Mytilus edulis: one gene and its partners. The protein of the gene in region 2 binds, or shares a complex with, the protein of the main gene of each other region. Links are inferred from orthologs where the notes say so. Each region holds a gene or a part of one and is shown on either strand. Other genes may lie near its edges. The genes, in order: dynein regulatory complex protein 10-like, dynein regulatory complex subunit 4-like, dynein regulatory complex protein 9-like and F-box and leucine-rich repeat protein 13-like.

Region 1 (7,143 bases), on a different chromosome or scaffold from region 2:
CTTTGTTTTCGAACGGATTGTAATTGTCTCATAATTATACATTTTAAGTACATGTACACAGTAATCATATACCCAATCTTAATATTTTTAAATCAGAATTCAACATCATGTGAAATCTGAATATATGTAAATTTTTCAATGATAAATTCAGCTAAATTCAATGTATGCATAATCATGCTAATGTCATCTTTGAATTTGGTACCAAAAAATTGAATAAATAGCAGTTTGAAATGATAAATGTCATTGTATTGGTTATTTTTATAGGCCAGTTATTATATTATTAATACTACAATAGAATTATTTTGACTTTGTTCAACAAGATTTATATATATCTTGTAACATAATATGGCATTTTTCCTTTGAAGTTTTTACGTGATATTCTGCTTAATAGTTCGGTTTCTGAAAAACCATGGTTATTATAGAAAGATTGATATGTTATTCCATTAAAAAAAGTCATGACATACTTTGTGCTTGCAACTTCATGTAGATAGGTGGAGTTTAGACTATGGTTTAATCTGATATTTTTCATGTTAAACCATGATTTAAACCCTGCCTCTTTGTTACGACTCTGTTCTGAATGAACCGGCTGATTTTCGAAAAAATTGACTGGATTGATTTTCACGTGCACACGTTAAGCAGGGGGCTGGAACAACATTCCCACTGGGTTTTTATTGGATAAAAAATCACCAGGCCACTTTTGAATGATGTTACAAAACATATACACCACGCCTTACTCATTAACATATTTACATGTATAGAACTCATCCTGCGGATTCGTCGTTTAAATATGCTAACTCGTAAATAGCATTGTATATATTATACTAATGCTACATGTATGTATTTGAGATATTTACAGCATCAAAATGTATCTTACCCTTCTTAGATCTTGTTCCTTTTCTCTATGCTCCAATACAAGGTTTTGAAGCTGGGTTTTAAGTTGTACTATTTCATTCTGCAGCCTTTGTACTTTGCCTTCATGGTTCTTTTTATCAGCTGATTCTTGTTTGTCCTGTTCATTCTTAATCCTTCCTATATTTTCTTTGGAAAAGTTTATAATCTGTTGTAACTCTGTCTGTAGCTTTTTTATTACATCATTTTTCTTCTTCATCTATAAAAGAAAGAAAGAATCTTTATACACACATGTTTAAAAGAAATAATCTAGCTGGTATCTATGACATGTATGATATGAAATAATGTGTCATATCATTATACAATTTATATTATTATAATGTGTTTAAATTCATACATACATGTATACATTTTGAACTTAAATAAAATAATGTGATGTGCAATAAATAGAACTTCTTGCCAACCCCTATTACTATAACACAAACTGGTCAGACTATAAACATCACTAGGCGCTGTTAATTATGTGTATTGTCATCATATCTTCTATAATTTTCTGTATAACTATTACTGTTGACAATAACTCTTTTACAGACTACAATAATTTGTTTCTGCTGTTTGTGCTACATGTACATGATGATTGTGAGTATATATTGCTAATTTATTCACACAATTTTGTGGTGGCAACATATACATGTATCTGTAGTTGAAAGTCATTAAAATTTTAAAATGTTTCTCTTTTACAATAAAGGTTCTCTTTGCAAAAGTTAGACATCATTGTAAACCAAGTGAGGCAAATTATAGTATTCTTTTTAAATTTTATGAGACATGTTTGATTATATATAGTTTTACATGTTTTTGAGTTTAAAATATTGATTCAAGAATCTTAAAAAAAATTCAACTTCTGTAACTTTATAACTAAAAATGGAGAACATTTTATCATTGAGAATGCCAGTATGATTTGAAATACAATAATTCAGTGCTCTTAATAAATGCATATCATCCACAATGTATCAATAAACATGATGCATGTAGACTGACATGTTGGAGTCAAAAAATTTGCCAAGTATTTTTAAATCCATCTAAATATTATACCTCTTCTTCCTTATCAGCAACTGCAGCATCAAGTTCTTCTTCCATCTTTGCAATGATAGTAGCATTGTTTCTCTCTCTTTCTGAAACTTCCTGGATGTAAGCCATTCTCTCTTTTTCTTCCTCAGGTGTTGTTAACAGTTTATTCAGTAAGATATCTCTCAAATCATTCATGTAAGATAAAAGCTGGGTACTCTCTTTAGGTCGTGCATGAAAGTGGGTCTTAACAGAATTAAATGCACTACCATTTATTTGAAATTGTCTGAGAATGTTTTTGCATGAGGAACTAAGTTGCTGAGCTACCAGACTCAAATTCCGCATTGTACGTTCTGTTTGGCTGTCAAAACTAGCAACAGAAGGATTAGATCTTCGACTGCTAGCACTACTACCTCTAGATGGAGGCTTATTAACAGGACTCTGTGGGGGACTTTGGCCTCCATAAACGGAATCTTCATCTTCGTCATCTTCAGCAGTAGGTTGAGTTTCATTCATATCATTTTGTTGCTCTTGTGATGCATCACTTCTGACAGAACTGGCTGATCGTATTCTATTCCTTTGCATTTGCCTATCAAGCTGTTCTTTGATCTCATTGTAACTACCGATTATAATACTGTGGTTCTCTAGCAAGCTGCAAAGTTCTACCCCAAAGCTTATTCGAAATCTGTCCAAATTTTCAAGAATGTATGGGATCATTGAGGAAATTTCTATTCTTTGTATTGTGTCCTCAAATACTGACATAACACGCTGTGCTTCAACTGTGGCTATTTTTTTTCTTGCAGGTTCTAATGCCCTCGCTGGATCTAAACGGAGTCTGTTTCTTATTTTCCCTGGTCCTCCTTTTTGAGGGGGTACGGGAACTGTTAGTTTCATGTTTAAAATTGGCTCTGTGGCAATTGAACCTGTTAATGTCTGTGTTCGCATTGCTGTGGTGGCCATTTTCGCACAATATAACGGCGATAACAACGTTTACAATAGGCTTATATGTATATAATTCCTAATTTACATCGTCAACATTACCAATTCACTGTTTATCGGTCTTGCAGCCGCATTACATTGAATTTGTTTAATACGCATTCCCTAGCAACAAATAGTACTTCTACAATTTCTGTGTCTCTCTTTTTTGAATAGCATAAATCTACAAAATAGTTCGATGAAATGAAAAATACAGTTTTAAAAAAAAGAAAAAAAAAGAAGATATTAGTCTCCTAAGGGAATAAAGCAAAAAATGTTGCTCATGATTTTATTAAGTTGTCATGGAACTACTTTTAAGCGGAAATAACCTTTGTTCGGAATATTTTTAGAATACACATGATACATTCGCAATCCTCTATACTTATCCTTGATTATCAAAAATGAAAACAATATGGCGGGTAATATTGAAAGTCCCCTATTAATCAGAAATGAAAATGGATTTTCACCCTCAGGTATTTATTATTAATGTGCATCTCTTTTTGAAACACTTAAGATTGACTATTTATACTGGCTAGTGACATTGCATTTTAATTGCTACATTGAAAAAATAGTGTTGCGGAAAGTCAGTGAGATAATAGTTTATTTTTGAGTAGATAACAAGGGTTAAATTAGTCCAAATGAACCAGTGATAAATAAAACCTGACAAGTTTGAAAATACACAGTCACTTCCATGATCCAAAGAAAGAGACGCACAGCCTGTCAACTGTCACAATATACCACACTAGTCACTAATGCTTAAGCATGAAAGCAAATTTACAAAATTTTGAGAAAATTGATTTGGCAGGTAAGATTCAATTATTGCAGGGTGTGTTTTTATTGGGTAGTTTGATGCCCTGATGTCAGTGTCGTTTCCTAAGACACATTAATTTGGTTTCCAGACAATAACTTTAGTTTAAGTGAATAGATCTGTATGAAATGTATTCAGAAGGTTCAAATCCACAAAAAGGAAGGTTAGGATTTATACACCTTATCGCTATTCCCGGCTGACCCGTCCGCTTGAACTTTTGACGTCAACAACAATCACTTTTCCATTGTGGCGTCAGACATTTTGTTTTATGAAGTCAAAATTTTACGGGAACCTGTGTGATTTCCAGCAATAGCGATAAGGTGTATTATGGGGATGATGGTCCCAACCGTTTTAATAGATAAAAGGGGCCCAAAACAAGCATTTTTCTAGTTTCAAAATAATTTCTAGTGTATTAAATATTTTGATTGCTCTGAAATTGTACCACAATGTTTAATACCACAAGTAGAAGGCTGGAATTTATTTTGCACGGTTTTGGTGCCAACAGTTTATAAACCTAAGGGCCAAAAACAAGTATTTTTGTAGTTAAATCCAGGCAATAACTTGTGTTTAAGTGAATGGATCTCTTTGAAATTGTACTACAAGGTTCCATACTACAAAGGAAAGGCTAGGATTGAGTTTGGGGGTAATTGCACCATTGTGAATTCGAAAAGATAGAGGGGGGGGGGTTCTCTATTTTTTTTACATGTAGTTCAAATTTTTTTCAAAATTTTTCAAATTTTAAATTTTTTGAAAAGTTTCAACAAGAAATCTTCAATTGCACAGGGTTGCACAATAAATTTGTAAGATCCTTGTCAGACCAATTCTATTTCTGTGTCAGAAACGTAATTATGTAAAAAAAAAAAAAAATGATCAAAATTCAAATTCAGACATTCTCAAGCTTGAATTTTGTGTCTAAATTTGCTAACTGTTCAGGAATCGACATCTGGGGTCGTTTCAGGTTTATATATAGAAACCTTTGATCAATTTTAATGAAATAAAACTATACATATCAATAAGATGTAAAAAGCTCTTCGTTGTTCAGTAATAAAAAGTATGATGCCCGAGGAACAACAGAAAAAAGGAACGGGCGTCAATAAAAAAGGGCGGAAGCTGCCCTCTTCAAAGGTTGTAGCTAGAACACTGTTTATTTTGGTTTTTAATGTCTATTTCAGATGAAGACCAATATGATGTTCCATCAAACAGAATACACAGTAATGGTGACTCTATTTATGATGTAAACAATGGTTTTGGATCTAACCATCAGATTTTGGAGGGCCAGGGCACTCCATACCATGCCATCACTAGACGACATAAACAGTATAAAACTTGGGAACTGAATTACCAAGAGGCAGCTATATATCTGCAGGAAGGGGAAAACAATGATAAATATAGTACACATCCCAGAGACTTTAATGCATTGCCAGCATATAAAATTGCTCACAAGAAAATTTTCTATGCTTTAGACTTATTTGCAGCACTGCTGGTAATGGGATTAGCTGCCTGTGAACGACCAGCAGTGCCATTTTTAACTCTCCCTGTAGGGGTAAGTTACCATATAATTGTTAATTGTCAATGTCTTTTTAATTATTGACTGGTAAATTCAACAAGCATTTTCCGAAAGCTCAAGTCTTTTGATTATAAAAATTTCCAGCAAATTTAAACTGAGTCTTTTATGAAGGGAAGGAAAATACAGTATCATTTTCATTGTATGTTTTTCATTGCCTTTGTAAGATGTGCTAGTCTTATTCTTTAAAAAAATATTGTAAGTGGTCAGATATCAACTTTTAACCATAAATAATTCAAATCATGACAGAATCATGAAAATCAGACTGAATAAGCAGAAAGCAAGCATAAACATACATGTATATATAAAGCCATTTATTAGTTTTCTCAATTTAATTTATGAAATACCTTTGTCCAACAATAACATAGATTATGGCTCCTGGAAAATGTACAGTTAAGTCAGGTATAAAATGTGTTCTTGTATTAGATGTATTTTACAGGTTCATGGATCACTGGAATTGTTTGGGCTTTTGATATTAGCGTTAGAATTAGGAATACGCATGAAGTGGCTAGGATTCAGAACATTCATCAAACATAAAAGAACTCTTATAAAGGTATGTAGATTAATTAATGATTTTTTTTTGTATCAATAGAAATACTTATTTATAGACAAATGATTATTTTTATGCCCCAGTTTTTCTGTGTGTGCGTCTGTTCGTTTGTTACTCCTTTCGTTTGTTTGTCCTGCTTCAGGTTAAAGTTTTTGGTCAAGATATACGTAGTTTTTAAAGAAGTTGAAGTCCAATCAACTTGAAACTAAGTATACCTGTACCCTATGATATGATCTTTCTAATTTTAATGCAAAATTAAAGTAAGATTGATGCAAAATTTCAAGGTCCACTGAACATAGAAAAGGATAATGCGAGTGGGGCATCTGTGTAATATGGACACATTCTTGTTTTAATGATAGTGCAAATTTAACTGAAAGTTAGTAATAAAATTATTTTTCAGAGTTGTACTTTGATCATCGTATTTATAGAGACTATAGTTGTGATAATACGACAGCATAACCATTTTAGAGTCACAAGATCACTGAGGCCATTGTTTCTCATAGATACATACTACTGCAGAGGGGTCAGAAGGTATGTTTGTTAATATTAAATTTTACCATATTGTTGAAGCGATTATTTGTAATCATGCTGATAGAGGGGTCATTGAATATACAGCAGTATAATATTGTGTGCTATGGAATTTTGGGGAGAACAATACTCTATTATGGTCAAGGTACCCATATTTCATGGTTCACTGGTTTGACACATTGTGTAAATTTAAGTTTTACATCAATCAGAGTTCAGGTTTTAGACACAAACTGACTTCTCACTACATTGAAGACCTGTTGGTGACCCTCTGCTGTTGTTTTTTATTTGGTCGGGTTGTTGTCTCTTTGACACATTCCCCATTTCCATTCTCAATTTTATTACAATCATATAACTTGTTTTTAAGAATGCATTTATATTTCACTGTTTCACAGATTCAAACATAATTATGGAAATGGATTAAAATAGAGTTTTCTTTTCCTTCTAGATCTTCCTAAAGAACAGTTATTTTAAAGAGTTCACATCAATCTTAAGTGTTTATAATTTCCCTCTTAAACAAACACTTGAGAATTTAAATTACTTTAGTTTCTCTGAGTGACAGGAAGCAACCAGTTAAAATAAATATTGATTAAATTTTATCCTTATTTTCAAAATTCCAATTAAATTTTAACTGAACTAAAATTATGTACTAGCTAAGTGTTTTATAAATAAAGTTCAAGGATTTTCGTTTCAATCTAGAGCTTTTATTATTTAATATTTTAAAATATTCCAACAGAATTTACAGTTTGTGTCTAATATTATTAGCTCACATGGCCCAAATGGGCTATTTTAATCACATGTGTCTGT
Region 2 (7,373 bases):
AAGTTCTTCTCACTTTTAGATTGATCATTTTGTGCCAATTTCAGGGCAGATACATTTTGTGACTTTATTGTTGTTATATTCTTCTGATGTTCATACAGTAAATGCTTCACTTTTTGTTTGTAAACCTGAAAATATAAAATGGTAAATCATTAAATATTTTTATTTAGATATGATTTTCACTGATAAAATCATACTCATCAAATCTCATTCTGTCATAATTAAATATAATACAAATCTACATGTTCATATAACAGATTCTACTTTATTTTCATGTTTGAATACAAAATATTTGAAGAAGATAATTATTGATAGTTTAAATTTAGAAATTCCTGTTTGCATTTATTTTACAAACGAAGAGACATTCTTTTATAAAGATATTCAGAAAATATTGTAAACACATTATGTCAGTAATAGTTATAATGAAAGCAATCTTGTCAAAATTTTTACAAAATATCTGACTTTGAATGTTTCATTTCAATTTATTTCTACAACATGACAAAGTAGCTTTTGGAAATTATGAAAGAAGCATACATGGAAATGTAAAGATAGTTAAAAGAATATGATTGAAAAACAATTCTTAAATTTACTTTTATTTCGGTCTGATGTCTTTCTTCTGAGTCCTCCATTTCTCTGTCTTTATTTCTAAGTTCTGCTTTCTTCTCTTCTAACTGTCTTTTTGTGATTTCCCAGAATGTGTTGACCTTGTCTCTTTCCAATTGGAAGTAGTTTCTCTCTTCTCTTTCACGTTCCAATTCCTCACGTAATCTTTGTATGTGTTCTTCCAACTGTAATTAAAACATTTAACTTTTTGTAATGATACTAGTCAAACATTTTGATCTTTTTAATGAAACAAAAAATTTTGCAATATTAACATGATGTAAACAATTTGCATTTTATAAACTTGTGCAACATAATTTGCAATCAAAAAAATCTTCAAGAATTTAGAGATAAACAAAATATAAATTATTCCAACTACAAGGTAAAAATATTGCAAGTATATTTGTTTGTGTTTTCGTTGTCTTTTATCATCTTTTGGATAGGTCCATATTGCTCAGTCTTTGTTTTTTTGCTGTGATATTTCATTTGTGTTTGTGAGTTTGAATATCCCTGGTATCTTCTGACACTTTATTTTAAGCAGAAGTCTACATGTATACCTGTTCTTTAGACATTTCTTCTGTTGAGATTCCATCTATAACTGTTGGTGATTTGGCCTTTCCAGATTTCTTCCCTTTCTTTCCCTTCTTTCCACTCTTCTTTTTAGGAGGCTGCAAAAATGAAAATTCATTTAAAAAAAGATATATCAGGTACATAAAGACTAAGTGTCAATTTTGATGATTTGTTGCTCTATATTTCTTGACCTGAAAGACCAAGAGATGCTAATAGATGGGTCAGGATGATTAATTGATTTTAAATAGCCAGTAATGTTAACAATTTCTTCTGTAGCTCAGTCTATATCTTAACTTAGATATGTACGATGGCTTGTATTGAAGTGGAGACATTTTTCACATACATAGTTAAATTTTCTGGGTTCAAAGTGAGTTGCATTCTTCTATAAATTAGCACACCTTGAAAATCTTTTTGTGATGTGGATCCTCTGGGTAAAAAATCTTTTAAATAAGTTCTTTGAAAATTTTATACATTACTTACATTGAATCTGGGTCCGTCCGCCCTGATTCACGTTCGCCCTAGTACCTGTTCGCCCAGATACCTGTTTGCCCAGGGTCCGTTTGCCCTACGTACATGTACCTTTTTTTTTAATTGTTGTCCAGTTGCATAATGTTAATTATTTGAACAGAATATGTTAAAGTTTGTTGAAAATTTACCGAATATTTGTATTGCAGCAACCAATATATATTATTTTCCCTTTGATTTGCATAGTATACTGGAATACAATGTATTAATTTAGTAATTAGTTAGTATAGAAAGTTCCTGGTTTATCATAACAAAATGTTTGTTTTTATTATTAATCCATCAAAAGACAAGTATCACAACAATCAGTGAGAATTATTATGTCATTGAACAATTATCAATCCTAAAAAAGCCATAAACTTTTAAATGATTCCTTACGTTTCCCTAAATTTCAAAAATATGTACCACATAATTATCTAAATAAGTTTAACCAACTTCGAATTCAATGACCTGAATATCATTTTAGTAGGACGAACAGACTCTACGGGCAAACGGACCTAGGGCGAACATGTTATTAAGGCAAATGGACCCGATACCATACATGTATACATTCAATAACTCCACAGTTTTTACACACTTATCATATGGTCCTCTACTTTCCAAATCAACACAAATGGTAAAGCTGGAAGAAGGTGTTTCCTATGCAAATTTCAATAGTAAGCATGATCAGTAGTAATAAGTCCGTGGGTTTACTCTATTTTTGAAAGTTTTAGGCCTCGGAAATTAAAGTGTCAGACACCAAAACCAATGTTTCAATCAGTTAATTATTTTCTTACACTAAACAGATAGTAGTTCCATCTGAAGAAAAAGCGGTCAATCAGTTTGAAAGAGAAATAAGTCAACAGGTTGTCTTTTTATTTACATACTATAGTATAGGTAGACAGGTTGAACAGTCACTGAGTCAGCAGATAAAGATAAATCTATTTGCAATGAATCCTCTTTACAGATTATTTGATAAATGATCAGGTCAATAACATACTACCATATAAACTATACACAATAATGTAATAAAAGTTTAAAAAAGAGGAAAATAACCAATTTATCAAAATATTGGTTTAGAATATCATGTGTATTTCAAATACAAAAACTGCATAACATGTTTAAATTTCATGTTGTTTTGTCGTTTTTGTGTAGTAGAATTAAAAAAAAACGGGTAAGACAGGAAGAGGGATTGAATATCTCACTAAGAGTCATCCATAAACCTACCATTGTTCAGTATGTTCCTGGATTCTTTGTTTTCAAAATGTTAAATGTATGTTCCCCCTTTCTGATGTACTTGTTGTCCAGGTGACGGTCCCCGGATGTAAATAAACACATAATCTCGTACAAGACAACGAGATAATTAGCTGTGTACGTTTTATTTGATTTTTGGACCAATCGAAATGTCAAAGACAGTGAAAAATAGTTTTATCATCATAAATTTATTCGAGAGAAAAATATATTAAAAATTACGTAAATTTTAGAATACTGGTTTTCTAAAGTAAATAGGTAACTGTTAAAAAGAAAACGCTAAAACACGTATCTAATTTCTGGCGACGGCACCCGTTTATCGTTAGACGCAAAATAACGTATATCTTTTCAGGTTATGTGTCTCTGTTATTGTTAATTTTTCAATATATTTGTGTGTTTATAACTTAAAAGCGTCTGTACCAATTCAGGTCCGTATCAACCCTGAGACTACTATACTCAGATCAACCCAAACATGCTCGAGAGACTTTGAAAAATTTCAAAAATTATACGGCATACATAGACCTTGATTTCTTGGGGATCTTGAACTTGTTGAGAAGTTGAACTTAGTAATTATGACGGAAGAAGAAACTTGCTGTGATATACAGTCAGTGGACAAAAGTGAGTTTCCACTAAAAAAATTTGTCCTATTATTTCAACTAAAATCATTATTTTTCAAATAAATATTACCCGGACACCCCTTTCGTGAAAAATTTGGTTGATTATATAGCGAATCACCTTAGTTCAGTCAGCCCCCCCCCCCTTATAAAAGTTTTGGTAATTCCACTGTTACTGATTTATAGCAAATAAACTAAACAAATAAATACAAAATCCTTGGTGTGTAATCTAGATTTATTTTTATTTTCCGTATTTAAGCCGTCCGTGATTGCTAAAGAGTAATACTATGGCGTGTGGTACTTATGTATATACGTTGATTTGCTCAAACCTTCACTCATTTACATAACACCCTTTTTAGCTCACCTGGCCTAAAAGGCCAAGTGAGCTTTTCTCATCACTTGGCGTCCGGCGTCCGTCGTCGTCCGTCGTCCGTCGTCGTCATCGTCGTTAACTTTTACAAAAATCTTCTTCTCTGAAACTACTGGGCCAAATTAAACCAAACTTGGCCACAATCATCATTGGGGTAACTAGTTTAAAAAATGTGTCCGGTGACCGGCCAACCATCCAAGATTGCCACCATGGCTAAAAATAGAACATAGGGGTAAAATACAGTTTTTGGCTTATAACTCAAAAACCAAAGCATTTAGAGCAAATCTGACATGGGGTAGAATTGTTAAACAGGTGAAGATCTATCTGCCCTGAAATTTTCAGATGAATCGGATAACCCGTTGTTGGGTTGCTGCCCCTGAATTAGTAATTTTAAGGAAATTTTGCTGTTTTTTGGTTATTATCTTGAATATTTTTATAGATGGAGATAAACAGTAAACAGCAATAATGTTCAGCAAAGTAAGATTTACAAATAAGTCAACATGACTGAAATGGTCAGTTGACCCCTTTCGGAGTTATTGCCCTTTATAGTCAATTTTTAACCATTTTTCGTAAATCTTAGTAATATTTTACAAAAATCTTCTCCTCTAAAACTACAGGGCCAAATTAATCCAAACTTGGCCACAATCATCTTTTGGGTTAGTTTGGAAAATATGTCCGGTGACCCGGCCATCAAACCAAGATGGCCGTCATGGCTAAAAATAGAACATGGGGTAAAATGCAGTTTTTGGCTTATAACTCAAAACCCAAAGCATTTAGAGCAAATCTGACATGGGGGTAAAATTGTTTATCAGGTCAACATTTATCTGCTCGGAAATTTTTAGATGAATCGGACATCCCGTTATTGGGTTGCTGACCCTGAATTGTTAGTTTTAAGGAAATTTTGCTGTTTTTGGTCATTATCTTGAATATTATTATTGATAGAGATAAACTGTAAACAACAATAATGTTCAGCAAAGTAAGATTTACAAATAAGTCAACATGACCGAAATGGTCAATTGACCCCTTAGGAGTTATTGTTCTTCATAGTCAATTTTTAACAATTTTCATAAAATTTGTAAATTTTTACTAACATTTTCCACTGAAACTAATGGGCCAAGTTCATTATAGATAGAGATGATTTTAAGCAGCAAGAATGTTCAGTAAAGTAAGATGTACAAACACATCACCATCACCAAAACACAATTTTGTCATGCATCTATCTATCTGCTTCCTTTAATATTCACAGAGACCAAGGTGAGCGACACAGGCTCTTTAGAGCCTCTAGTTAAATAATCTTTTCATTATAAATTCTGATGTAAGAACGGCACCTTTAACTAGCCAATTGAATTTAAATTGAAAACTAATTTAAACTATTAATTTAAAATTTTTACTTGTTATTATATTCAGATCTTACACAACTTTTAATGATTATTTTATTTTATGGTTTAAAATTGTAATGACTATCTTATGAATTAATAAAAGTTTTGCCTTTTCTCATTTATCTGTTCATAAGTTTATATGCCCTCTTGTGTTTTAATGTGTAAAAAGTTGCTACAGTTTATACCATATGAGTAGTGCTCCATAATTAATATAGAGGAACATACAAGAAACTGAACAGTTAGTTTAAACAGTATTTATTAATAAAAAATGTCAAGATAAATATTACAATGTTACATAAAGTTCAAATATGGGATTCGGAAACAAGTTTGGAAAAACTTTTATAAATCCGTCTCCCTAAAAAAAAACACCATCTATTTAACAAACAATATTACGTGCCAACAGTATATTCAGTTTATGGTAGCATATAATAAAATGAATAAATACCAACACACACACGCAAAAAAATACAACAAATAAAATAAGTGAAAAAAAAAAAATGTGGAAAAAAAGGGAAAAAAAACACGAAAACAGTCAACTCTTATTTACTTTTCCAGACAGTCACTGGAACCAACACACACGTCCGACTATAGACTCACTATACTGTCAATTACGCCGGGCAATCCACTCGATTTTACATCATATTAAAAAAAAGTCTATATATATAATATATATATATATACATATACTAGATTAACTTTCAAAACGTTTTGTTTTATTTGTGTATTCAGAAACTTTATGAAACATTTGCACATTGTCCTCGTCAGCTTTTAGACTGTCCCCATATAAGATAATCTTAAGATTAGAACAGGAGATCGTCCCGATAGTATCCCTTCGAATTTCATTATATTTTGGACATTTGAAGAAATAATGAGAGGTAGTTTCTACTCGACCACAGGTACACAGTGCGTTCTCAATTAGATTTTTTTTAATAGATGGTCCCTTAGAACACTACTCTGGAGTCTTAGTCTTGCTTAACATGTCTGTTCTCTTCTACAGCCTAAGTGAAAGTTCAATGGTATTTTATTATTATTTTGAGAGAGATAAGTCTTAAAACCCGATTTTGATTGATTTAGACGAATGTCGTGTGGAATATTATTCCAAAGGTTTACTACGGCTGGTAGAAATGACTTTTGATAATAGCTTGTTCTGCATAATACAGTTTGTAAATTTGAAGACCCCTAGTCCTGTGGTCGTGTAGATCTAGTCTCTGATTTGGAACTAACACAGAAAGATAATCTCCGTGAAACATTTGATGAAATTTTAATAACTTATGTTTATCACGTCGAGACTGGAGTTTCCCAACCGGTTTCATCGTACACAGCAACCGTCTCGATGATATCTTAGTACCACCTGTATCGATTCTTGCTGCTTCTAGTTGTAAGTTTTCCAGAGATGTTTTTAATTAATTTAGTATGTTATCCCAGACAATGTCCCCATATTCTAAGACTGGGCGTATGAAAGATCAATAAATAGTTTCTAAATTTTTCCTTTTAAATTTAAACTTTAACTTTCGGAATAATGCTAATCTAGGAATAGCCTTATTAATAATCATTTTTACATGGTTATTCCAGCTTCCATCTTCATTTATAATAACCTCTAAATGCTTGTGCAACTCAACTTCTTTTATTATATTATTATTCATATACACTGGCGGGTGGTGGGGTTAATGGTGCCTTTTTGAAATGGTCATTATTTCTGTTTTGTTTGGGTTGAAATAGACAAGCCATTGTTTAGACCAAGTATGTATTTTCTCAATATCTTTATTTAGCATTTCTGCCGCTTCATATTCGATATCAACCACTATATAAATTGAGGTGTCATCAGCAAAAAGTTTTATATCAGATTCGATGTCATTAATTATGTCATTAACATAAATGAGAAATAAAATAGGACCCAAGATAGACCCTTGGGGTACCCCAGCTGAGACATGTTCGTTGTTGGACGTTTCTCCACCAATGACAACCTGTTGCCTTCTTGAGTTTAAATAGCTTTCAAACCAAAGTAACAAGTTACCATTAATTCCTATTTTTCTAAGCTTATAAAGTAAGCCTTTATGCCAAACTCGGTCGAAAGCTCGACTAGAGAAGATT
Region 3 (7,147 bases), on a different chromosome or scaffold from region 2:
TCAGCTAGACATGTACACCTTACAATCATTCCATACACCAAATATAGTAGACCTATTGCATATAGTATAAGAAAAACCTATAAGGTGACCTATAGTTGTTAATGTCTGTGTCATTTTGGTCTTTTGTGAATAGTTGTCTCATTGGCAATCATACCACATCTTCTTTTTTATACTTGTTCACTGATCCATGAAATGAGTTCGAGGACAAGTGAAAACTGTCTGATGGGCATGAGGACCTTGCAAGGTACGCACATACCAAATATAGTTATCCAATTACTTATAATAAGAGAGAATTTAACATTACAAAAAATCTTAACTTTTTTTTCAAGTAGTCACTGAACCATGAAAATGAGGTCAAGGACATTGGACATGTGAATGACGGAAAGTTCGTAACATGAGGCATCTATATACAAAGTATGAAGCATCCAGGTCTTCTACCTTTTAAAATATAAAGCTTTTAAGAAGTTAAGTAACGCCGCCGCCACATCACTATCACTATGTCGAGCTTTCTGCAACAAAAGTTGCAGGCTCGACAAAAATTGATTTGAAAATTTGTTTTTAAGTAGCAACATGTCATGGTATGCTTATACATTTACGTAATATTACGTAAGATTTACTTACAGTTACTATGGTTACTAAAATACAATTTAAAAATAACTGAAAAGGAAACCTTTAATAATGGTGAAAATGAACGCAGGGTGCAAAGTTGTGGGATTCAAAAACGAATGGAGGCAAATGTGACATTGGGAGAATGGACCAAGATTCATGACAAGTTAGTCTTGAGGTTTACCTGTATACCTATATATAGTTTACAACAAATATAGCATGGGGCTTCAGAATGAGATACGTAAATGAATAGTGATACACAATTTAAAAGTTATTACTTTGTGTTAATGACATCTTTGGCTTTGTCTTTTTTCTTCACTCTACAAGTATGTGGACAGCAAAACTAAGTGTCTCTTTCTCAACAATTCCTAAAAATAAATATTACAATCAAATCAATTGAATTATTCAAATAAGTTTTATATGAAATATATATAACATAAACTTTGAATTGATATTTACTTCAACTCACACTGTACACTGATTTAAAAAAGTAGGAACAAATTATTAAGTCCCTGTGGGTAATAATGAACAAAATCAGTTGGAATGAATTGATTAAATCTTAGACAAATAGGTTTAGAACGAATTCAACTTGAAATGAATTGTTTAGCAGTCAACAATACAACATAAGCTCAGAGCAAGCTTATTACAGACATACATAAAGTGATAATCAATTAAAGTACATATACAGTGCATTCAGACACAATAGGACAACACAAAACACACAATAGTTTTAAACATACACAATTGTCAAATAAAAGAATTAGTTTAGCATAAAATCATATAGAGTTAAGTTAAGGCTAATGCAAGCACTAAAATAGCAAAAACTATTAGCACTCAAAATCAGCAAAACTCTAGCATCAGAATAAATCTTTGACGGGTGAATTGCTTCCCTTGGTAAATGTGGTTAGATACTTAGTCAGCTGTAAGCGATTGAGCTAAGGAAGTTCAAGCTCATTAAGTTAGTGTGCTGCCTTATAAAAAGTAAAATCACAAAAATACTGAACTCAGAGGAAAATCTAATCGGAAAGTCCATAATCACATGGCAAAATCAAATGACAAAACACATCAAAAACGAATGGACAAGAACTGTCATATTCCTGACTCAGAGGGCTCATATCCCAGGTATGAAACTAAGCAATTTTGTAATAAAATTGTTTAATTCATGCCCTCCGGTTACAAATCAAAAATTACAATTAAATTTTTTGTCAAAATATATTAAGTTCAGTTGCCACCTACATGTATAAGTTATATATCTAAAGTACATGTGAGTTGTTTACCATCTGGAGTGAAATTGTACACGCGAGACTTTAACGTTTACAAGGGAAACAATCCAGTGTCAACAGCGACATTGACAACAGAACACAGGCACTTGTAGTCGGTAGACAAAATAATAACGATTGACATACTTTGGTAGGATTGCTACGGATGATTCTGACAACAAAAGTAGGTGTGATATAATGTACACCATTGTGTAGATAAATCAATTTAGATTTACGAAATTACAAGTTTTAGTGGGGTTAACAACTGTGAAATAGGTATATGACGGAATTTCGTGACATTCTGACATGTTTAAAAAATGCGAGTTAAATACCTTGTGTTATATAAGGGTATATAGCATTTTTTTTTCTGAGACAAGTGTCTGTGCAACAGAATACAGAAAATTACAAACAAAAGAAAATAAGTTATTATAATTTTTCAAATCTGCTGTTGTTCTATACATGTATGAATAAAAGTGTGGTCAATATTAATTTCACAGACAACACAGGAACTTTATCTTCAATCTTTGTCGTGATGACAGAGTAATCTCTCTTGTAAATTATCCTCTCTTGTAAAATAATTATCACAAATGTAGTTTCTCCTTTGTACTTATATATTGTAGGTGGCGCTTTAAAAATATTATAGAATTATTGTATGAAGTGAAATAAATCTAAAAAATGGTTTATTAGGTTATTGAAATGGCATGAAAAATTAAAAATATAAAAAATTTAAAGAAATTTGTATCAAATTATCCACTAAAACGGTTTGTTTCCTCTATGTACTCCGCTAATAGTTGATTGATATTTTCTGCATTTGGCAAATTGATTGTTAATAAATTGTCTAGATCTGTTGGAATTTGTCCTGTTATGAAGTATATTTGATGAAATAATTTGTCTCTGGCATCTGGAACTTTAACAATAATAACATGCTTAAAATACTTTATCATTGCCATATGATCATATTGCCTTAACCACTCTGCACAGCACGATATCGTGTAAAACTACTTGTAATAATGACATTTTAGTGATTCATATATATCTTGAGATATTTGCCATGCAATTTGTGAATTTTTGCTTCCCTTATCTCATTAATAATGCCATAAAATACCTTTTTTTTTACTGAAACTGGCATAACATTATGTTTACATGTTGCTAGGTGGCATGCGCCGAAACCGGAAGTTAAGAAAAAAATCAACTTCCGTTTCCTTTTTCAATTTTCAGCAGGTCTGCATGATGAAAATATATGTTTATGATGACAAAATAATGCTTTCCTTAAATAATAATTTATATTTATTAAAGCAAACTTAAATTTTATTTTATACATAAGTCATTGTTCATACTAGAATAAACGGATGGGGCTTCAAACGACTGATATACGCAGATTTAAGGTCTTAACAAGGATTATTTACTATAGATCTTCACGATATTTTTCTTTAAATCAATGACAACTTGACTGATATTCCCCATAATGTAAAAAGGAAGATCTTCGTAGAGAACAAACTATTATTCCTCTTTTTGCGACAGTTTGCATTGTCGCATATTCCAAGATTCATTTAAAAAAAAGATAAATATGTGCTAAAAATGTTGATGATAGTACCAACAACGTGTATATATATATATCGCACCTGTTACACTTGATTAGTATAATTTGGTATGGACAATCGCTTAAGAATAGTATTGAAATCAATGTTCAGAGCACCCTGTTTTTTGTGGTGTTGTTTCTAAGTCGTTTTCTATGTTCTTAATGTTGTTTCTTGTTAAGTATTATTTGTTTATTTCTTTTTTAGCCATGAGTTTTTCAGTTTGTTCTCAATAAGTTTGAATATCCCTCTGGTATCTTTTGCCACTCTTCACTTGTATAATAATATTTAGTTTTACCATGGAAGTATTATATTGACAGGAACTAGGTACGGAAAGTGATTTTTTTTAAATCAACCGATCTTAGAAAACTTTACCTCATTTAAAAGGCATTGTGAAGACATTTTCAAAACAGTTTCACTTTTATCTATACACATAATAACAACGAAGAAATTGCAACTTTTCAAAACGAAAATTTTTTACTATTCTGGAAAAACTGTTTCCTCTCTTTAAAAAATAATAAAATATATTTTTTTAATCATTTGGGTTATAGTTTTGTTTATATTGCTTCTTTTACATCTTGTTAGTCAATTTCAATCCTCCATATTCAGGTTTTTGGTCAAAATAGAAGCATAAAGCATGAAAATGTCGACCACTCTCATGAAATTGTATCGTCCAAAGTCACATAACATGACGATACCTTTACATATTCCTTTTTTCAGAGCATCAGGTATATTGAAAATGTAAAGTAAAACTTTATAAACATTTGAATGTAAAGAAACAAAATATAAATATGAATATTACTCTTTATATACAAATGTATGTTAGTGTGTGTGACTATAAAAAAAGATGTGGTATGATTGCCATCTGAGACATGACTCTCCACAAGAGACCAAATGACACAGAAATTAACAACTATAGGTCACCGTACAGCCTTCAACAATGAGCAAAGCCCATACCGCATATCAGCTATAAATGGCCCCGAAATGACAAATGTAAAACAATTCAAATGAGAAAACTAACAGCCTAACTTATGTAAAAAAAATAAATGAAAAACAAATATTTAACACATAAACAAACAACAACTACTGAATTACAGGCTCCTGACTTTGAACAGGCACATACATACAGAATGTGGCGGTGTTAATAAAATTGAGAATGGAAATGGGGAATGTATCAAAGAGACAACAACCCGGCCACTGAAAAAACAACAGCAGAAGGTCACCAACAGGTCTTCAATGCAACGAGAAAATCCCACACCCGGAGGCGTCCTTCAGCTGGCCCCTAAACAAATATACACCAGTTCAGTGATAATGAACGCCATACTAATATCCAAATTGTACACAAGAAACTAAAATTAAAATAATACAAGACTAACAAAGACCAGAGGTTCCTTACTTGGGACAGACGCAAAAATGTGGCGGGGTTAAACATGTTTATGAGATCTCAACCCTCCCCCTATACCTCTAGCCAATGTAGAAAAGTAAACGCATAACAATACGTACATTTAAAATTCAATTCAAGAGAAGTCCGAGTCTGATGTCAGAAGACATGTTAGCGGACGCCCAATCCTCCCCCTGACCTGTGACAGTACAACATAAGAATGAACTATAAAAATCAGTTGTACCATGAGAGACAAGAAAAGTTTTGTATAGTCATGATACATGTGATAGTTTTAGAATGTTCCCTTTTCATTAACATTCTATTTAATTAATATATCTTAATCTTATATGGCATGTATAGTGAATGCTTATAAATAAAAATAAACAACAACCTTCTAACAATTATTCTACATGACTAAAATAAAAACATTATTTTTATTTTGAGAAATTTCAAAGAAAATAATTATGTCAGATTATGTACTGTAAATACCTGTATGTATAAAAGTAAAGTAAATTCATCATGTTCATATCTGTATATCAGTTACAATACTTATACAGTGAAATCTGTAAACCAATTTTATTCAGGACTGAAGTTCGAAATGCATTAAATGTGAATAGCATTCGAATTGAACTGCCGCTACTGCATGGATTCCTATGTATGTTTTTAGTTGAACATGTTGAAAATACATACAGTCATGTATATTGATTGTTGTTAAACCACATTATTCAGTATCCTTACTACCTCGTGTGCAATGGCAAGTGGTTAAACTATCGTTAAATGGCAATAAACTGGCTGTATAATGCAAAAAAAAAAACTATCACCGCTGAATTCCAATCAAAACTTAACCAAAAATTGTCCATGCAAGGGAAATAACTCTGTATACACAAAAAGGAGGGTAATTTATAAAAAATAATTTTGATATGAACACAGCTATCTAGATTTATTTTTTGGACCTTATTATTTAATTAATATATTAAACTTAATAAAAAAGTACATTTTATGGCTGTATAAAGTTCCCTTGTATTTTTTTGAAACAAATGTAACTTTCAAACCCTTGTTTGTACCTCAAATATTTCATCATATTCCCGAAAATTATAATATACAGAATCATGAATATTCATATAATATCTATCAAAAGCAATCAGAACCTTCTGAGACTTAACAAGTTAATAAAAGACCGTAATTGGAGGTCACCCAAAGATTTTATTTTTACACACATCTGGGTACAATTATTTAGGGTAATTTGGAGTTATCTCCCATTGGTTTGCCATACCTACAGGAACTACTACGACCCGACTTCAAACGGTTCATCTGCGATGCCGCGTACCATTTAATGACATGTTAATTAACTTGAAACATGGCACTATATTAATACACCAGTGTGTGGCACATTGCGATAAAGTCATGTGTCGGTCGTTTCCGGGGTACGGAAATACAAGAAGAAAGCGGATGTTGTCATAAATCCTAAGGAAACAGTTTATACACACGTGTGTAGATGAATAGAACGAGACATACAATCATTAATTCCAAACAAACACTTTGACAATGGATGAATTTGAGACAGATAATATACCCGATGATTTTTGTCCTCACATTTTGAAAGTGAGATATATTGTTCGTGTAAATCGGATGATTCGTCACATCTTATCGAATGTAAAAGCAAAGAGTGCAAAATAAAATTTTAGCACATACAATGTGTTGGATTGCAAATTGGCATCGATGGACCATGTTAAATAAGGCTTTACGTATATAACTATATATGAAATATCCTGACTGCCAAATATACATCACTGAATTCAGTTTCAGTTTACGTTTTTGGTATAGACATTAAACCTTGTTTTTTTTAAGTGCATATATAAAGTATTAGATTTACAGTAGAAGTTGATAACTTTAAGATTTGTCCTTGTGAGAAAACAATACTCGGGTCATAAGACTTTTTTTAAATCTTGGCTAGTATATATATTGGCATAGTCATACATGTTCAAATGATAAAATACTGACCATGGCTTTATATGATCGGAAAGGTCTTTCAATTGCGGGTAGACATGAAGTTTTTATATTCACAATTAAAAAGATATTAACCAACATTATATAGATAGCTACACAACGAAGTGAGATCTCTGTTTTCTTCTGCTGTATTTTGTTGATGTTGGTACTTGTTCGATTAATTTTCGTATTTTAAACTGGAAATTTATACTTTCCAGGATTATCCAGTACCTTAACTATATAGATTACTCGAAACTTCACAGTATTTATTTTTATCAAATATATTTATTTTTAACCGGCGGTAACCGGAACACACCTTAATTACGATTTAAACTTAA
Region 4 (6,858 bases), on a different chromosome or scaffold from region 2:
CAAACATATCCCTGAAAATATACATATCAATAAAATCTTATTACCTTAAAGTTTATTATTTCCCACCTTAGTTTCATTATTATACAAAAACATCATATTTTTTTTTAAGGACTAATGGTTTCATGTATTAATTTACAATTCAAGTATACAAACTTTTTCTATAATTGAAAGTCTTAATTACTTTTATCCTTTTATACAATTACAGTCTGACACCTCCAAAACAACAAACTTGTATATTAATTTATTTTACCAGTAAATCAAATTGAAAAGATGACTCATCTGCATTCCACTTATCGTAACATGTATACATGTAAAAGTAAATAAACTTTTTCTACAAATAAAGTTTTATATCTATTTGACAATCCTAACCTAATACCTTGAAAACTTGTACATGTATGGAAAGACAGTACAGCTGTTATGCATTGCAACACACAATACATAAATTTTTGTCAAGATCAGTTAGGATTAATAACAGGAGACTTTAATATGCAAAGATAACTTGATTGACAGGCAAAATCAAAATCTGTTGTAAATTGTCCATTATTGTACATATGTATATACATACCAATTAAGTTCTTCCAGACCACCTTCAGTCAGAAACTTGAGTTTGTCCAGTAAAAACTGTAAGGGATCTTCAGGACACATAATTGCAAGTCCAGTGAGTAGTGCCTATAAAAAGAGTTGATAAATGGTAAAAAAAGAATCATGATTTAATATCAACATTGAACAAGAAAGCACTTCAACAACAAATTTAAAAAAAGCCTTCTAGAGGTACAATATATTTGTAATTTTGTTTTTATATAATATAATATGTCATGCTATAAATTCATTTAATAGACAACTTTCGAGTTTGATGCATTCCCTCAGAAACTTTGGTTTTAGTGAACAGCATTTCTTGCGTTTAGGGGTGTCGTCACTTCCATCTAATGTTGAGCGAGTGGTTGGAAAATTATATAGACAATAACTGTTTAGTGTCTTTAAATATCAGCAGTTTTTGTAGGAGGCTAGGAAACAAGGTGTATGCATGCTTTTAGCGAGCTATTACACCTGTTTCGAGCCGAGTACAAATACAGCTGATATCTAAAGACACTCAACAGCTATTGTAGTTTATCCTGCAATTAATTCTGTATATAATTTGTGTTTTGAAAGACACAAAAACACATGTTTTGCATTTATTTTCTATTTGAAATCCCTTTCAGCCCGTGTAGTAATAAGATACAGTAGTCACACATTCAGCTGAAGACGGTTTCGCAAAAAAAGAATCTTGAATGGTCAACAGTAATACATCGCTCAAGGTGAATAATTATAACATAACAACTTATTTCAACAGTAAAAACAAATAACAAAACATTGTCCAATTTGAAACAGGAGTGTATGAGTTGTCCTATGCTTCAGATTCGACATTAGCTAAACATGCATACTGAAATTGACATGGTTATTTTTGTTACACAATCATACACATTCAAGTTTTGAAATCGATAGTTGTCATCTTAGAAAAGACATCATGTGTGTATGTTATCAGAAAACTGGTGCCATTTTTATTGCTCTAAAGAAATGTGTGAAAACAAACAGAATGTATAAAAGTAATCGTTAATTCGCAATTGATACGTCATTGGAATGCGACTGCAATACACATTCTGAGGTCATGCAGGTTCATACAATACTCAGTCGGCAGTGGGTGGAGCTTTAAAGTGATATTTGTATACATGTAGTATACAGATACAGCATAGCGATATCTGTAGGGCTGTATCTGTATAGTAGAACACCCAATTGCAGGATAAAAAGCTATATTGCACGAATTATTCGGCAAATTGAATTCTCAGAATTGTCTTTCAGCACTGCTGCCATTAGGGAATTGCGATTAAGTACCTGAAGAACAAACATTATTTTTAGTTTATCCTGCATGCACACTGATGATCACTAAGACGCTTGATGAATGTTTATGAAGTAGGGATACAGGCGATCCCCTCTTTCTGGTAAATGATGTCATAAAGGCACACATAATTGACGAGGTTTTTTCCGGTGACGCTGGTCTATTGTCTTTAAAAGTTATCAATGAACTGAAACAATCTAAGATAATTCTGCCATCAACACCAAAAGGGTGTGCAGCAAATAGAATTCATATATGATTGGCTGTTAAAAACGAAGAAAGGATGGAGTGTGATGCATAATTGGAGATACAAAAGGAGTCAACAGTTTACATTTACTGATTTAGCTGGTCTAGTCAGTGGAGAATACTGGAGATCTTCTTTGGCTCATTGAGAGCACGTACTGCCTGCAGATCCAAATATTGCAGTTTCTAATCTCGCTGGTACATCCATGTATATTTATGGTAGTGAAATTAAGTATCTCAGGCTTTCTTTTTTCTATGTTTCTCATATGCACAGTAAACCTATTTAATAATGGGTCCTGCTATGCTGTTTGACATCCCAAACATCATAAAATCAGTAGAAACACCAACAAATAAATAAAACTACAAAATAGGTCTCAAATTGTAGAAGCACATATAGGAAGTACAGCACCATTTCAAGAACTTGCAAGCCCTGTATCTCTATTCTGCATCTAAAAAACTATATAAATTACTGTACGAAATTTTCTATAAGTATAAATAACATCAGTCGTCTCAGTCGTCACTGTACATTTTGTACCATGTGAGGAACAATGCTATAAGTACAAGTTGTGTCAGATTTGACATTATGGTCAGGACCAGGACATTTTGCTTATATTAAAGATACTTGTCACCTGTCATTTTTTTAAACAATACAAATAAAAGACAAAATGATCTTATGAAGTTATAGCCAAATTTATTGCATCTTTAAATGCATACCTCATAAACATCTGGTAACTTATTTGACCGCAGATAAGTCTTTAATTCAGGGTTAGAGGATTTCATAGATGCAGCCATTTTCGGAACTTTATATAACAAGCAGCGTGAACTGAAAATAAATCAAATTATCGTATTTTTGGAATCCATGTTGTTTGTGTAGCAACGAAATATCCCGGATAATGATTATAATATTCAAGTCAATAGCGTAGCGCACCTTGCAATTTCCGGAAGGAATTGTGGAATAATCTTCTATGTATATGTATTTCCTTCTTATTATGGAACATATTATAGACAATATCCTTTTAGGAGGGGGAACTTATTCAAACTTGGACACACTAAAAGTTTTCCATAAATAACTAAAATTATTATTTTTCAAAATCAGAGTTTCAGGAATTTCAAAATTGAATCAGTGAGATTAAAACAAAAATGTTTTCACTTAACCTGTGATCATCCCACATTATTGGTGGGGATCGTGCTGCACAATCTTTAGTTTTCTGTGTTGTGTCTTGTATACTATTATTTGTCAGGTTTTTTTTGTTTTTTTTTGTTTTTTTTGTGTTTTTTTTTTTTTGCCGCATGGGCATTGGCGTTGTCAATATCATAAAAAAAAGAAGATGTGGTATGATTGCCAATGAGACAACTCCACACAAGAGACCAAATGACACTGACATAGAAATTAACAACTATAGGTTACCGTACGGCCTTCAACAATGAGCAAATTCCATACTGCAAACAATTTAAACGAGGAAACTAACGGCCTAATTTATGTAAAAAAAATAAACGAAAAACAAAAATGTAACACATCAACAAACAACCACTGAATTAAAGGCTTCTGACTTGGGACAGACACTTGCATTATGAATGTGGCGGGGTTGAAGATGTTAGCGGGATCACAACCCTCTCCTAACCAAACCCGACAGTGGTCACGTAAGAGGGGGGGGGCAAGGGGGGTCCCAAAAACAGCAAAACAGCAAATTGATTTGGCTCATAACAGATAACAAGGAATTAAAATGGACAAAAACAGATAACAGTAAATGAAATATTAAAATAATTCGGTCTTTGACAAATCAGTATTTCTTATTACGGATATAATCCTTTGTAATGCATTCCATTTTTTATGACTATGTTTTAGTATTAATTTATGTATCTAGAATATGTTTAAATTACTACTCAATATATTATAATATTTTGTATACTCTCGTTTACGGAACGTATTATGGTATACTGTTGTCCGTCTGTTGTCAACATGTCGGACATTAACTCAAAAACTCTATAACCATTTGCATTAAACTTTGGGAAATTGTTTATATCTATTGACGCTCCCTTTTTTTTTTTCTTTTTTTTTCTATAAATTTTAGATTTTAAGTTTCTGGGTAATGGGTTTTTATTCAATAAAATTGGTGTTTTTTTTTCAGTTTTCTGATAATATCTCAAAAATGCTTTCACAAAGCAAGGAATTTTGGTGAATTTATCGTTTATATCTATTAACATGAGGTCACTTTCAATTTTTATAAATTTTAGATTTTACGTTTCCGAGTTAACGGGTTTTATTAATTAAAAAGGGGTGATTTTCCAGTTTTCAGACATTAACACAAAAACGTTTTCAGCAGTTCTCATGAAACATTGGTGTATTGTTTATATATATATATTGACTGAGGCTCCCTTTGTTGCTAATCAAAAAAGTGACCTAAAAGAGTTTGAATATTCTGACTTTTTCTAAATGACCATTTAATGAGGTGTGTGAATTTTCCTTAATAAAACTATGAGGCAAAGTGGTATATAGGGTAGAAAAATCAAAAGCACCAATTATAAGCATGCAATTTATCAAGTACTTTGAACGAATTTTGACACTCTAAAAGCAATTTATTCCACTATTTTCAAAGGCCTTATTTGAACAATTTTTTATCAGCTGAGGTTTTTGATTGTACCAAATGTACTAGTAAGTAGAATACATAGTTTAATAGGGAAACAATAACTTGAAACGAAATAACTCTTTGTTTGTAATGAGTTATGTGCAGCTTCGGACCCAAGTACATGGTTGGAACTTTCATTGTACAATGCATTTGGTTCTGCTTTGAAAAGAATTACAGAGCTGTGTCTATGTACCATATTATATAAAAGGTTAAGTGGTTGTTAGGACCTAGTCCTTAATTGAGATCCTTGTCAGATATTCCTAGCCATATGTTTTCCTTTTTGTCATATTAAGAATTGTTTTAATTTAATATGTTCGTACGGAAAACAAGGAACATTATTCTCATACAAAAAATTAAGATAATTCTAAATACACATTCATAAAAAAAAAATGGAATTTATTACAAAGGATAATCATAAGATATACTTGAATTGTCCTGGACCTCACTTCTGAGATGGGTATATGTTAATGGAATCCTTCTCTGAATACAGGACAAACATATTAGTAGTGTTAGACCCCAATGGCCAATGATCTTCAATTTATACCGAATATTGACTGTCAAAAAAAATGCTAACATTCCAATTTTCAATAACAGTTAACAGCAAATACATTATCACAATAACAGATAACAAAAAAACTAAAAGCCCAATAACAGCTAACAAAGAATAAGACAATAACAGCTAACAGCAAATACATTTTCAAAATAACAGATAACAAAGAATTAAATTGCCCCATAACAGCATAACAGTTAAACCCCTTGCCCCCCCTCACGTAAGAGTACAAGAAGTTTTATTATAAATATTTTTCCATCGATCTTTGAATCCAACGTTGGCTTAGATTTTTTTTTATCATATTGAACATATATATATATATATACATACATATCTGTATACTTTTCCCGGAATTTTAATTGTTCACATATTATTTGATTTTATTAGTAAATGCATTAATAAGATAAATGCAAAGATGGCATAATACTTGTGATAGAGACTTAGTCAGCCGTGAGCGGTTGAGCTAAGAAAGTACTTCTTTAGCTTAGTCGTTATGCCGCGCTGCTTTGTAACACAGAGGTCCCGGGTTCGAGTCCCGAGCGCGATGGGAACTAAGCACTTATAGTACTAGTAACAAAAAGAACTTAATGAACTATTTATATTATGTCATGAAATCTTAAAGATTTTTGCACTGAAATATTGGACCATAGTTATTGATTTATTCCTGTATGTAAAGCTTTAAACAAAAATTAAACAAGACAAAAGTTTCGTTATAATTACAATGACTTGGTAAGCAGATTAAAATTTTGTTTAGCATTTTTTTTCCAAATCTTTTTTTGTATTTCTAGTCTATTTGTATTACATTATTAACGTTTTTAACGTTAGCATAAATATTTTCTAGCAAATATATAGACAGGAAAAACTAAAAAAGATTTGAAAAAAACATTGACAAACAAAATTCTAATCTGCTAACCAAGTCTCTGTGAGTGAGAGGGTGAATGGCAATCTTAGTTATAGCTTAAGCACATACGTTTGTGAACTGGTGTACATGAAATATCTTATAAAGTCGTGTTATGTCCATTATACATACTGTAACTAAACTTTAAGAGACATGAAGGAACAATTGCAACAAATCTCATTGCAAATTTCATTCTTCCAATTAACATTTTAAGGAGATATAAGATGTGGTATGAGTGCCAATGGGACAAATCTTAATCCAAGTTTCAAACCTGAAATACTTACCAAAAATATGTTAGTGTTCTAGATGTTTGAAAACATTCATTGAAATAAGAAAATGACTAATACCACATTACTTTAATCTTATCAGATGTGCTTTACTAGTCATGGAATGCACTACAGAAGGACAAGTGTGTTAGATAACTGATATTAGTATGGTCAAAGTGGAATGACGTATTTATTAGAGACAATCATTTCCATAAACCATGCTGAGAAAATTCATTTTTTGTCAAGGTGACGACAAAACAGAGGAAAACTAAGGTTAGTATAGTAGTTTAAACTTTTATCTTCATGAATATATCTACGATAAAGAAAATGGTAATGCTACCAACGATATAACCCTTTTTTTTTTTATCTTTATTTGAGTTCAATGATCAGGCCAGTACAAGAGT

What was found.
Region 1: dynein regulatory complex subunit 4-like (region 2) and dynein regulatory complex protein 10-like share a complex: the UniProt entries of both Homo sapiens proteins name them as parts of the nexin-dynein regulatory complex. The link is inferred for Mytilus edulis from reciprocal best matches to the Homo sapiens genes DRC4 and DRC10.
Region 3: dynein regulatory complex subunit 4-like (region 2) and dynein regulatory complex protein 9-like share a complex: the UniProt entries of both Homo sapiens proteins name them as parts of the nexin-dynein regulatory complex. The link is inferred for Mytilus edulis from reciprocal best matches to the Homo sapiens genes DRC4 and DRC9.
Region 4: dynein regulatory complex subunit 4-like (region 2) and F-box and leucine-rich repeat protein 13-like share a complex: the UniProt entries of both Homo sapiens proteins name them as parts of the nexin-dynein regulatory complex. The link is inferred for Mytilus edulis from reciprocal best matches to the Homo sapiens genes DRC4 and FBXL13.

What each region holds. Positions count from the first base shown.
Region 1 is NC_092349.1:64,492,381-64,499,523, reverse strand, and holds the start of dynein regulatory complex protein 10-like, read right to left. Parts: upstream 3,004-7,143; 5' UTR 2,875-3,003; coding exon 1,942-2,874; intron 1,109-1,941; coding exon 875-1,108; intron 1-874. Other genes in the region: two pore channel protein 1-like, read left to right, coding at 3,302-3,362, 4,870-5,240, 5,701-5,814, 6,212-6,342. UniProt on the Homo sapiens protein: Component of the nexin-dynein regulatory complex (N-DRC), a key regulator of ciliary/flagellar motility which maintains the alignment and integrity of the distal axoneme and regulates microtubule sliding in motile axonemes.
Region 2 is NC_092348.1:7,363,796-7,371,168, reverse strand, and holds the start of dynein regulatory complex subunit 4-like, read right to left. Parts: upstream 3,022-7,373; 5' UTR 2,899-3,021; coding exon 2,896-2,898; intron 1,266-2,895; coding exon 1,155-1,265; intron 786-1,154; coding exon 588-785; intron 126-587; coding exon 1-125. UniProt on the Homo sapiens protein: Component of the nexin-dynein regulatory complex (N-DRC), a key regulator of ciliary/flagellar motility which maintains the alignment and integrity of the distal axoneme and regulates microtubule sliding in motile axonemes.
Region 3 is NC_092346.1:87,338,832-87,345,978, forward strand, and holds the start of dynein regulatory complex protein 9-like, read right to left. Parts: upstream 3,027-7,147; 5' UTR 2,973-3,026; intron 976-2,972; 5' UTR 901-975; coding exon 885-900; intron 1-884. UniProt on the Homo sapiens protein: Component of the nexin-dynein regulatory complex (N-DRC), a key regulator of ciliary/flagellar motility which maintains the alignment and integrity of the distal axoneme and regulates microtubule sliding in motile axonemes.
Region 4 is NC_092344.1:89,673,741-89,680,598, forward strand, and holds the start of F-box and leucine-rich repeat protein 13-like, read right to left. Parts: upstream 3,005-6,858; 5' UTR 2,906-3,004; coding exon 2,828-2,905; intron 670-2,827; coding exon 566-669; intron 12-565; coding exon 1-11. UniProt on the Homo sapiens protein: Substrate-recognition component of the SCF (SKP1-CUL1-F-box protein)-type E3 ubiquitin ligase complex.